Arabidopsis thaliana: one gene and its partner. The protein of the gene in region 2 binds, or shares a complex with, the protein of the main gene of each other region. Each region holds a gene or a part of one and is shown on either strand. Other genes may lie near its edges. A codon is read from its position in the direction of its gene.

Region 1 (4,230 bases), on a different chromosome or scaffold from region 2:
TTTTTCTTTCCTTAGTTTAAATACGAAAACGGAATGTGGCGATAATAACGGTTCCGTACAGTTTCATTTGACACGTAGGCTTTTAACAGTGTAACGTGTCCATATTTAGCTGCTTGTGAGACAGTGACCCTTAAATGCATCGGCGAGACTATGTATTAAACATTTAGAGTAGCGTGGTGAGTTTAAGAAATATTGGAAGAAAGGACCTTTCATAACCCTTTTATGCAAATTTCCATATACTATTCTTTTTTTTTAAGGTATGTTGATCTCTTTTAACGACTTGCATGTTTTTGACGTTTGTCAAAACTCAAAAGTAATAAAATGGAGTTCCATGGTTGGATTTTGGGATTTAAATTTGTTCTTTAATGATTATTTATGCAACAAAATCTTATAGGCTTCCAATGCCTATATAAGGTGGATCAAAAACTGATCTCGGTAAAAAAGACAGTACAAAACTTCGGTTCGAAACTTCCTACTCTAAAAGAAAACAAAACAAAAAATACAAAAATCACGACCGTTATTATATACTTATTGTGATAAATATGTAAATTGCAATTGATATCAAAGAGATACATTGCATGGATTGCAATTAAGTTTATAAGCTGCAGTGACGGATTCAGCAACACCTCCAGGAATAATATTATTGAAAGGAGAATGATTCAGCTCAGCCCGAATCACTGCTTCTGCGTCTTCACTTGTCACTTCTCTATCTCTCGTTACTTTCACATCAATCTCCGCGATAACGTCGCCGAGATTTGTCTTCTCATTATCTTCTCCTATTTTTTGGTTACGAGCAACCGCTTTACTTGCTACAGCGGTTACACCACCATCGCTTTCTATATCACCTCCTATAGCCCTAGCTTCCACCTCTTTTATGGCAGCCAAGTCGGTGGTTTCTACCGGTTTACGGCCGACATTTATCGCCGCTGCTTTGAGTGCTTCTGTCAATGTCGTTGACCTCCCGACTAGCGCTTCAGCCGCCGTGGAAATTTGTTCTGTTGTGCCTGCATACTGTTTCAAAAGGCCGAACCCGAACATCATACGATATCAACATGGTCACGTAAAATATTTCAAGTTAAAAGTTTTTTTACATTTTATCACCGCGGTAGAAGTTATACAATTCCTACTATGAGCTAGCAATCGGTAAAACGGTAAATTAAAGGGAACACCAACAAAACGGTACAAAATCTTTACCAATCTATGTTTTACCGCACTTGCTTACTTCTTTTAACTGTTCTGTTATCGTAAACGATTTTTCTTTTAATCGTGGCTAATTTTTCATTTTAACCTATTACCTGACCACAAGTAGTAGATTGGGAGAGGCTAAAGTGCTCCTCTACAGAGATATTGTGAAACTAGCACCATCTTTTGATGAACCCATCGTTTTAGAGTTCTTTGATCTTCTTTCTCTGCTTTGCATTATCTAATACACTTTCTGTTTTGTGTAAATTGATAAATAAGTAAACGGAAGTGCCGACAAAAAAAAAGAAAAAAAAAAAAAAAAACGGAAGATGACAATAGTAACGGTTCCGTAACAATTTACATTTGACACGTCGGCTTTCAACAGTCCACGTGTACAATACTTGTCTACGTATGCCGTTATGCGACCGTGACTCTTCGATGCATAAGAGAGACCAATTACTTTTTGGGCCTCAGAAGCTTCGTAGAGCCCAAACATTCTACCAAGCTTTGAGACACGTGCATAGTCCGTGCCAGCTGTTTCTTGTTTTAGTATTTCCGGGTCGGGTTTCACCCGTATCCGGAAATCAAATTCATCGGAGCGCTTAATTTGAGTCCACAATTAAAGTGAGAATTTTCCTGAAGAAGAAGAACTTTTGCTTTTTTTCTGGGTTTGCTTTTTTGTTGTGTCAATGAAATGGGAGAAATGGAGATCGAAGAAATCGAAGCTGTTCTTGAGAAAATCTGGGATCTACATGACAAGCTTAGCGATGAGATTCACTTGATTTCGAAGTCTCACTTTCTCAAATCGGTTAAACCTTCAAATAGATCGGAGAAGAGAAAGAATCCTCACGGAAATTCCGGCGAAGATAAGCGACCTGGTTATGTTTTCATCAAAGGATTCGCCGTCGATGATAACGACTCCACGATTCAGGAGGCGAAGAGTCTTAACGCAATTCGAACCGCTCTTGAGAACCTTGAAGACCAGCTCGAGTTTTTCCATGTAAGTCTCGTGTTTCTCCGATTGATTTTGTGGTTTTCGCTTCCTTGATATGAAGCGAAATTGGGAGATTAGCTTGTTATCTCCTTTGTTTTGTGCTAATTTTTGAAGATTGTTAAGCAAATCCTTCTACTAGATGACTATTCAAGTCCGAAATAGGTTGTATCTGCTTCTGAAGAAAGTGACTCATGATTAAGCCGATTTGAGGCAATTTAGGGTAAAAATTGATTGAGGTGTGTTTAGTTAGGGTTTAGATTTACGAATTAGGAATTTAGGTTCTGAACTGGATAGTAATTATCAGATTCTTACGAAAATTCTGAGCAACAATTTTAGACAGAAAATCATCATACAATGTAGTTCTGAGAGCATTGTTTATTGCAAACTCTTTGATCATGGAATTAAAGCAGGGAGAGGAATCTAGATTCAGGTGTTGTATGTGCATGAAGAATGATATGGTCTTATTTAAGATCAGAAGAAGTAGAGATAGATAAGCAGAATCCATTTCGCAATACATTATAGACGCATGTGTTTTATCATTGCCATAGATAATAGACCAACGAAGAAGAATATACAAGCTATTTTGCATATACACTCATTGGTTCTGGTCAGTCGCATATGTCTCGTTTACTATCTGAACCTGAAAGACAAGATGTAAAACTTCTTTCTCTTTGCTCTGCAGACTATACATACACAGCAGCGAACAGAGAAAGATGTTGCGATTGCTCGGCTTGAACAGAGCAGGATATTACTAGCAATGAGATTAGCTGAACACCACGGCAAGAACTATGGAGTCCTAGAGGAAGCTCTTGCATTTGTTGGGAGCATTAAATCCAACTCGCATTACGTTTCACCTGATCACCTCTACGATTCCTCTCGAAACCCAGACGGAGCAAACTCTATTCCAGATGGAATAGAGTCAAACTTTGTAATCAACGCCTTTGCCTCGACTTTCGGGTTTGCCAAGAGAGCACTTGGATTCAACCATGTGAAAGGCGTACTTGGAAACGCTGCTATATTTGCCATAAGCGTGGTCGCTATGCTACATCTTCACCAAGTGGCTACTAGTGAACATCATCTGCAGAAGAAAGAAGACAGATTCTACAGAAGCCAACAAAGGAAAACATACGGAAGAGATAAGTCTTCAGCTGACAGAAGTTTGGATCACTTGGACGTAATGATGGCTCGTGGTTAAGACCAGAGATCGAACTTGTCTACACGTGAGAAAACTAAAGAAGAGAAGAGATAATTGTTGCTCTCATAGGTTTCGATATTATCAGCAAAAGGATAAGAATTTGGAGGCAAAGTGTTGGAATTTTCTGAGCTCGTCTGATGCAAATATTGTTCCTTTCTTCTAATTTTGATTTTCAAACACTGTGGTTAATGTTTTGTTTGTTTTGTTTGGTTTTGTTGATTTCAAATGTGGTTAGGCTTTCTTGTAAATCACAAGATCTCTCGGCTATTCTTTAGTAGCAACTGGCAAATTCAGATTGATGAATGTATTGGGCCACTATCAGCCCATTCGCACCCCAGAACTATCCAGCCTTAGTTTGCTCAATCTTAGGCCCTTTTACTTTTGATGACAAATCACTCTAAACCGTAATAATTTGGTCCGGAAACAATATACAAAATACAGTACGAATACTGAAGAGGTTTATCGTCTAGTTTTTGTTATTCAAATTGAAGAAAGATAACGTTTTCTCGAAATTTTATGAGTTATATGACTTGTATACGTAGTTTAATATCAACTTTTTTTTATTCTTTCTTTGTTTCTACAAAGCCTGAATATCTATAAAGTATAAGGGTGTCAAAGCGGGAGAGTTTGTCCGGTGTATGTGAATTGTGATGTGAACAAAGCAAAGACAAGTGGGAGGACAAGTTATCAAGATGATAAAGGGGAAACTACAATGAGTCCAAATTGGTAGAATGAAGGAAACATGAATGTGAATATTACAAAATACTTTTCCTTAAGATCTGTTTTGTCTCTCTTTTTCTTTTGCTTTTGTACACATAGCTTTTTCTCTACACACTCTTAACGTTATAAATGGCTTCTT
Region 2 (6,928 bases):
CGAGAAATCCACTGGAATACGCATCGTTCTTGGCTTTGCCTACATTTCCATAAAAAAAATTGGTTAATTTCAGAAAAAGAAAAGAAGAAATGAGAAGAGAAGAGAAAGGAAACGTTACTGGTGAGGGCTTGGAAGAAGAAGAAGAAGAAGAAGAGACACGAAGAGATTGAGCAAGCTTGTTGAGATTAAGCTCCCCCATTCTCTTCTTGTTCTCTTCCACCCTATTCAAACGAATCTGTTCATAGCTTAGCTCCGATTCCACCATTTCTCTTAGGAATCCGAAACAGAGATAGAGAAACGAAAGAGACAGATCCAAGTCTTGCTTGACTCTTCAATGCGCTTTTGAGTGACCGTTGGGTTTCTTCTTTCACCGCTATGTATGTGTTTATACTTCTCCAATTTTTTTTTTCTTTTTATGTAATAAAAATCTTAATCATTGTGTCTAATCAAACAAATTGAAATTTCAAATTCTCAACAGTGGAAGGTCTGAGTAAGCCTCCATCGTGATACGTGAAGCAGGTATGGGCTTCTTAAAAGACGTTTCTTTTTTTTCCCTCCATAATTAACAATTATTTTGAGATCCCTTAATATTTTTAACTATTTTAAGAAAACATTTGATTTGATCAGTAACGCTTTACAATAATAATAAAAAAAATACTCAAGAAGTTTGTTTATCCATAAACACATTGAAATCAAAAGAATCTACAAAGACAAATCCTGTGGGTTACTAAGGAATAAAGAAACAAACCTGAGACTTTCCTACACCGTTAGGTAAACAAGAACAACCGTTAGCTAAATGATCCCATGTTCTACTGTTGATGCTACAACCTTTAGTTAGATGATGAGCTTTTTTTTCTGGGGGATTTTCACTTCTGTATTTGAATATCGCTTTGGCAGAATTTCCACAATCCATCTTCTTGCTTCTTCAGAATATATCGGATCTTGTAAGTGCTACAAGAAATTTACAAAGGCTGCATCAGTGAAGAAGATACCAGCTCAGTCCAAAAGTAACCCGAAAGCGAAATGTTTTTTTTTACCTATAATATTTTGCGTTTTTGGGCTGAGATTCATCAACTAATTCTGCTGCTTCCTCCAGAAGAGCTTCGATTTCTGCAGCCTCACCAGCAATACCATCTTCGAATATATGTGCTTGCAAAACCTCAAGATGAAGCAGAACGAACCTCCAATAACAGGATTTCGCCTCTGCTGTTTGTGCCAATGTTTGCCACTGCATTAAACAAAGAAATATTGACTCTACCTAAACATTGATGTTCAACTGTAGTAAACTAACATAATTAAGTAAAGGAATAATAGGAGATGTATAGAAACAGTAACCTGGACAAGCATGGATTCATCAAGGACTTCGGAAAGGCTATAAACTTGATGTGTTGGTCCAAGAGCTTCAGCCTTAACATTTTCCCACTGTCTCACAAGCTCTTCCGCTTCTTCTGTATCCATTGGTCTCTTATGCAGTTCTGACGCAGAATGAGACAATGATGTAGCTGATTGACCAGAGCTTTTCAGATACAGGGCATCCGGATGTTCGCCACAATGCATCTTTAACATGTCAATGAGCACTTTGATGTTTCCCACGATACCATTTCTATTCACAGAATCAAGGTTTTTTCTGAAATTCCCAGACTCTGTTTTCCACAGAAAAGAATCTGATTCTGAATGCGGCCTAGCAGAAACCGATATAGGCATACTCTGTAGTCTACCAGACCTAATGCCTGATAGCTTCAGAGAGAAGAACACGGTGCAACCCAGTAAAGCAACAACAGATACCCTTCCGATCAAACTGCTTTGAGAGAGCCACTCATCCCATATTTTATTTTTGTGTACACCAAGGTTCCTCTTCAGTTGAACAGATGGCATACTGGCACTGGTTTCATCATTATTCTTGGCTGATACCACTGGGCTCTGCAAATCTGTTGGTGTCAACTGCTCGACAGCTGTATAAAGATGTTGTGACGAGTTCACGAACTGTGTTGTGGAAAGTGGTCTTTGGTTCGTCTTATGATTCATGATCGAAGGTGACCCCATTTTCTTGTTTTCTGGATATTTCTTTTCAGCCCGGAAAAAATTGGCCTGCAGAAAGTTGTATATATGATTATCTTTCTGCATAAAAATAGAACTGCTATACAGAATCTTCCAGTAGTGATCTGATTCTTACCAAAGATGGAGAACAACCCCTTGTGTCTGGAAAGTTAGCAAGCACGGACTCCATTAGCCACGCTTCCTGGTCAATTTTATAGGTAGCATGTATGAAGGTCGCTATCAATCTTTCTATGAAAAAAAATCAGAGCTAGCGAAGAGATGTACATACTTGCAAAATTTCCAAATTAAATTTAGTGCATGAACCCAAGGGCTTACTCAAACAAATATTAAGATTTATGTGTATGTACAACCAATCGAAAAAGAAAATGTTAACGGCAGGCATACACAATGCTGTTAAAGCATATTCTATGAATTTAACTACCATCCACTAAATGTATCTATTTCCATTGTTTCAATTACAGCCTGAAACATAGCTCAAACTTATTCATACTCCACTAGAGTTGATCATGCCATTTACATCAGGCATAGCCCTCGCTCTAGTCGTAGCAACAAATGAACACATATTCTTGGTAAAAATCATAAGGTTTACCAGTGAGGGAGTAGCAGAAGTACTTCTCGACTCTTTCCCCAAGATCGAATTACGAACGGCAGAGTCTGAATTTGATTCCAGCTGCTTAAGTTTTTCCAGGGCCTCTGCCTCGGAACCCTGTGCTATCCAACATGTAGGTCCAGTAGCACTTAACTAAATGAACAACGCAAGGATCTTTCGAAGCAAGTGAACTTGAAGTAAATAAGATGCACAAGCATAGTTGATAGGGAAAAAGAATAAAGAAAGCAAGAGGAAAAATACCTGTTTTAGAAGAAATGAGCAAAAAGCTTCCTCAAATTTCAGATCAACACCTTCTGATGCTATGAGACATTCGCATATCGTTTTTGCTTTATTAATCTACACAAGCATACTGAATGTTATGCTTTATAAGCAGATAGAGTAGAGAAGAAATGGACCAATCAGTCTAAATTTAACAAAAGGAAAGAAAACGAGATATACCGTTTCATTTTGCTTGCCTGAAAATCCAACAGCGATGTGACCAAGTAACACCATGTAGAAACAATTAAAATCAATAACAACTCTTTGATTGTGGGATTCCAGTGATTTTTTATTTTTCCGTGTAATGGCTAAATCATCCCATGGAAGAAGATCGACAATCTCTGTGGCCAATAACCTGCTAATTGCCTGGCTCAAAAAGCATGGCCAGTCTTGAATTTGACATGAAGCTTCAACACTAAGGCCCTGTCTGAGCAGTTCGCGTAGCGCGGCAATTGCACCTCGCCTCCTCTCTGCATTTTCTGGCGTGCGTGGCAGGCCCAGTAGATCCAATGTGCAAGGTGGTGCAAGCTCCTCTAGTGACTCCTCAATCTATAAATATCAATTTTAACCCCTTAAAACCCAATATGCTGGTAAATTATGCTTTTGGACAATACGTACTTATATGTGAAGCTCCTAAACATGATGCGATTTACAGTAAGGCATGATCATGCACTTTTAATAATTCAAGCCAGTAACAGGGCTAAAAGTAAACTCAGAGAAGCTTTATATATACTAATGCAAGACAGTAGAACCTGTTACCTGAGTTAACAATGCAAGTTTCCCAAGAGTAACTTTACTCTTCAGAAAACTTTGAGCACGAGCAAGAGCTTCAAATCCTTGAGAGACCTTGTTAACCTCGAAAGCAGCCTTGGCAATTGCACACTAAATGGAAAACAAACATATTAGAGATAGAAGAAGCAGAGGATAGTGAAAGTAGATAACTAGTTCCCATTCTTAGTTCATTTGATTTTACCTCAGCAAGTGCCATAGATAAGAATATATCATGAATATATGGCTTTGAATCAAGGTTCCTGAGAGCAGCCCGGCCAATATCCAGCACAAGTTTTTCTTGTCCAACCTGAAGCATAGTAGCAGAAAGATCAGTACAAAACATTTGCAGGGATAAAACGCAATAAAAGGTCAGAAGTAGTACCTCTTGAAGAAGGCATAGAGCACCAGGCAACCATGCCCACGGAATTCTGAGAGGAGATTTAGGAGCAATCTTTTCTTTTAGGTTACCAGCATATTCTGATTCAAAAAGAAGTTTATCCCTAACATCCATGAGAAGATCCTACACATTAAGAACAAAGTATCAAGAAACTGAAGCCACATTCCCTGTCCAACTCTAGTGATACTATAGGTCTTAACCTGGCGAGCTGCAGCAGCTTCCATTGTATAACCCTCTTCAGCATCAGTTTTTTTCAAATTTATAACCGACTTAACGACCTCGTCTTTCTCAGCTTGCTCAGAAACTCCGATAAGCTGCAAAATCAATACAATTAACAGTATCCTGGAATAATGTCTAACAAACGAAACGCTACATTCTTTACACTCTATTGCAGAAATGAACTATGATACAATATTAAATTGCCAAATCAATACATCCATCTCGTTCTACGCGCTAGAGACTACAAATTGGAGGAAAATGTTTCTATTTCAACAAAATTTAGAAGGATAAAAACAAGTTCCACTTGCACTTCAACGAGGAGCTAAGTAGCAAATCGCGAGAGATAGTAGTATCTACAGAGATTCCGAAAAGTAAGTCAGTCGGAGCAAAATACCTGGTAACACGTAACCGGGAGTTCGATTGTAGAGGTAGATGCAGCGAGAGAAGAAGTACGAGACGGCGCATTGTCGACGACATGGATACCACCACCAGCAGCATTCAACCTCCTCCGTCCTTCTCGCTGAAACCGCCGCAAAGATAAACCAGAACCGAAGAATTCACCGGATTCAGAACGAACGACGAGGAGACCTGAGATCTGAAGCTCCGGGCGATCTACGACGAAGCTGGTGCTGCGATTGGAGATTCCGCAAAGCAGACAAGAAGAAGGGAGAACTGGAAATGTGTAAGCTACTGGCATTGCGCAACAGCTCCAGAAAACGAACGAACCCTAGAAGAAGTAGAGTGAAGCTGGAATCATGGTACAATTTGTTGGATTTCTTCAGAGGAGAAAAAATCGGAAATTTGGTCTCAAGGCTTTTGAGTTTTGACAGTGATTTTTGCCTTTTTCTGAAAGTTTCGTCTTGTGACGATAATAAGGTAACCCGCTGGCCGAAAGAGAGGCTCTGCTAATCTAGGACTAGACGAGACGAGACGTGGTCACGTGATCACGCCACGTGGATAATAAAGAAACATCTGGAAGATTATTTTATCCGTCCCTGGACATGGGCCTAGCTCTCGGCCCATAACTAATGTGCGAGAGAAACTACTGCAAGCTCATCGCATGCTACCAGTAGTCTAGTACTGATCAAAGGTTTAATTTGTGTGTAAGAAAAAACTTATATATAATTTAAAATTTGTTTAAATCTGATCAATATGATTTTTTCTGAATCAAATACCTGGAAAGTATATGTCTGGTGTAAACTTTTAACTTGATCAGATTTTGTAATACTTTCACTTAAGTTTAATATCATGAAAAAAGATTTAAGATATTTTGTAGTCATTATATTTTTGGAGGATAGCAAATTGCAACACTCAAACACATTTGGCTATATGAGAACCACGTTTCCTTTCTTGCAAATCAGCACCTCTTTTTTGTCCCGACTTAAAAATTCAGAAAAATAAAATGCCAATTTAGTAAAATAGAGAATATTTTTCACAATAATTTTGTGTGTTGTACAAGAAATGAGGTATTTCATTTTATTTTATTTTACTTTTTTCCTCTACAAGCAAAAACACACAACTACACAAGGATAAAACCTCTTGCCGTTGGGTTTATTTAGCTTCTTTGCAATATCCTTAATTTCGTCTCCGTCAGTAGCAGTCTCCGCCGGGAATATTTTTTTTCCGGTAGCTATGCTCCGAACCGTCTCTTGTTTAGCTTCGCGCAGCTCGTCCTCTCTATTCTTTCGCTTCTTTCGTCAGTTCCCTCGCTCTTACATGTCTCTCACATCGTCGACGGCAGCTCTCCGTGTCCCCAGTCGCAATCTTCGCCGAATTTCCTCTCCCTCAGTCGCCGGTAGACGTCTTTTGCTCCGACGAGGTTTGAGGATTCCCTCCGCCGCAGTTCGCAGTGTCAATGGGCAGTTCTCTCGCCTCTCTGTTCGCGCCGTCGCCACACAACCCGCTCCACTTTATCCTGGTTGGAATTTTTCACATATACTTCTTTTTTTCAATCTGTTTGAAGTTTAATTGCTAATTGATTTGTTCTCTTAATTCGGACATGTTGATTTGTGGCACTTGTGAAATTGTGGTTCTTACTTTAGGATAGGTTGTGAATTGTAGATAGGTGTGGTCCGTGTGGTGCATTTTTCATCTCATGCTTTGTGTCTACTTTGTAATCAAATGGAGCCATGTGTAACCTCTGCTGATGCGTGATTTTCCTTATTTTTGGTTGTTTGGATTCAGATGTAGGTCAAGATGAGGCTGAGAAGCTTGGATTTGAAAAAGTGTCGGAAGAATTCATCTCAGAGTGTAAATCAAAGGCGATACTCTTCAAACACAAGAAAACTGGTTGCGAGGTGATGTCTGTGTCAAATGAGGATGAGAACAAGGTCTTCGGTGTTGTTTTCAGAACTCCTCCGTAAGTTTACTTCATAATAATTTTTACTCTCTGTAAATTTGACCTGAGTATGTATTAGGCAATTGAAATTGGTACCTAAAGCTTCACTCCTTGAATTTAACTAATTGAAATGGTCAAGTTTATCTCTACTCATCAAAGCTTTTTTTTTCTGATTAGACCTAGTCATTTCGTTTCTTCTTCTAATATATTGGTACTTGTAAAGTGGTCTAAGTTTTGGAGGTTACAACTTGTCAAATTACTTAACGCTTTGTTAAAA

What was found. Proteins that work in one complex are often made in the same cells at the same time.
Region 1: the proteins of PARC6 (region 2) and PDV1 are in contact, whole or in part, in a crystal structure (PDB 6JZN), measured with the Arabidopsis thaliana proteins. Residues at the interface, in NP_188549.2 of Arabidopsis thaliana: Trp700 (codon at 1,422), Glu701 (codon at 1,419), Lys704 (codon at 1,410), Leu708 (codon at 1,398), Trp729 (codon at 1,228), Leu732 (codon at 1,219), Thr735 (codon at 1,210), Ala736 (codon at 1,207), Lys739 (codon at 1,198), Cys741 (codon at 1,192), Trp743 (codon at 1,186), Phe745 (codon at 1,180), Leu773 (codon at 1,096), Glu775 (codon at 1,090), Ala777 (codon at 1,084), Glu778 (codon at 1,081), Leu779 (codon at 1,078), Asp781 (codon at 1,072), Ala788 (codon at 1,051), Lys789 (codon at 1,048), Tyr790 (codon at 1,045), Ser792 (codon at 1,039), Tyr794 (codon at 947), Ile796 (codon at 941), Tyr798 (codon at 935), Ile815 (codon at 884), Ile817 (codon at 878); in NP_200140.1 of Arabidopsis thaliana: His264 (codon at 3,342), Leu265 (codon at 3,345), Asp266 (codon at 3,348), Val267 (codon at 3,351), Met268 (codon at 3,354), Met269 (codon at 3,357), Ala270 (codon at 3,360), Arg271 (codon at 3,363), Gly272 (codon at 3,366).

Annotation. Positions count from the first base shown.
Region 1 is NC_003076.8:21,605,710-21,609,939, forward strand, and holds PDV1 (plastid division1), read left to right. Parts: upstream 1-1,700; 5' UTR 1,701-1,876; coding exon 1,877-2,182; intron 2,183-2,858; coding exon 2,859-3,371; 3' UTR 3,372-3,719; downstream 3,720-4,230. Other genes in the region: AT5G53270 (Seed maturation protein), read right to left, coding at 562-1,041. UniProt on the Arabidopsis thaliana protein: Component of the plastid division machinery.
Region 2 is NC_003074.8:6,630,892-6,637,819, reverse strand, and holds PARC6 (plastid division protein), read right to left. Parts: upstream 5,184-6,928; 5' UTR 5,011-5,183; coding exon 4,708-5,010; intron 4,409-4,707; coding exon 4,295-4,408; intron 4,218-4,294; coding exon 4,080-4,217; intron 4,005-4,079; coding exon 3,900-4,004; intron 3,809-3,899; coding exon 3,686-3,808; intron 3,476-3,685; coding exon 3,107-3,475; intron 3,005-3,106; coding exon 2,909-3,004; intron 2,765-2,908; coding exon 2,648-2,764; intron 2,240-2,647; coding exon 2,174-2,239; intron 2,089-2,173; coding exon 1,336-2,088; coding exon of another isoform or gene 1,273-1,335; exon of another isoform or gene 1,229-1,272; coding exon 1,038-1,228; intron 952-1,037; coding exon 867-951; 3' UTR 528-866; downstream 1-527. Other genes in the region: AT3G19184 (AP2/B3-like transcriptional factor family protein), read right to left, coding at 1-39, 119-265; PREP1 (presequence protease 1), read left to right, coding at 5,946-6,231, 6,498-6,672. UniProt on the Arabidopsis thaliana protein: Component of the plastid division machinery required for PDV1 localization to constriction sites. Involved in chloroplast division site placement. Required for the proper formation of FtsZ rings at the division site in nongreen plastids (e.g. etioplasts).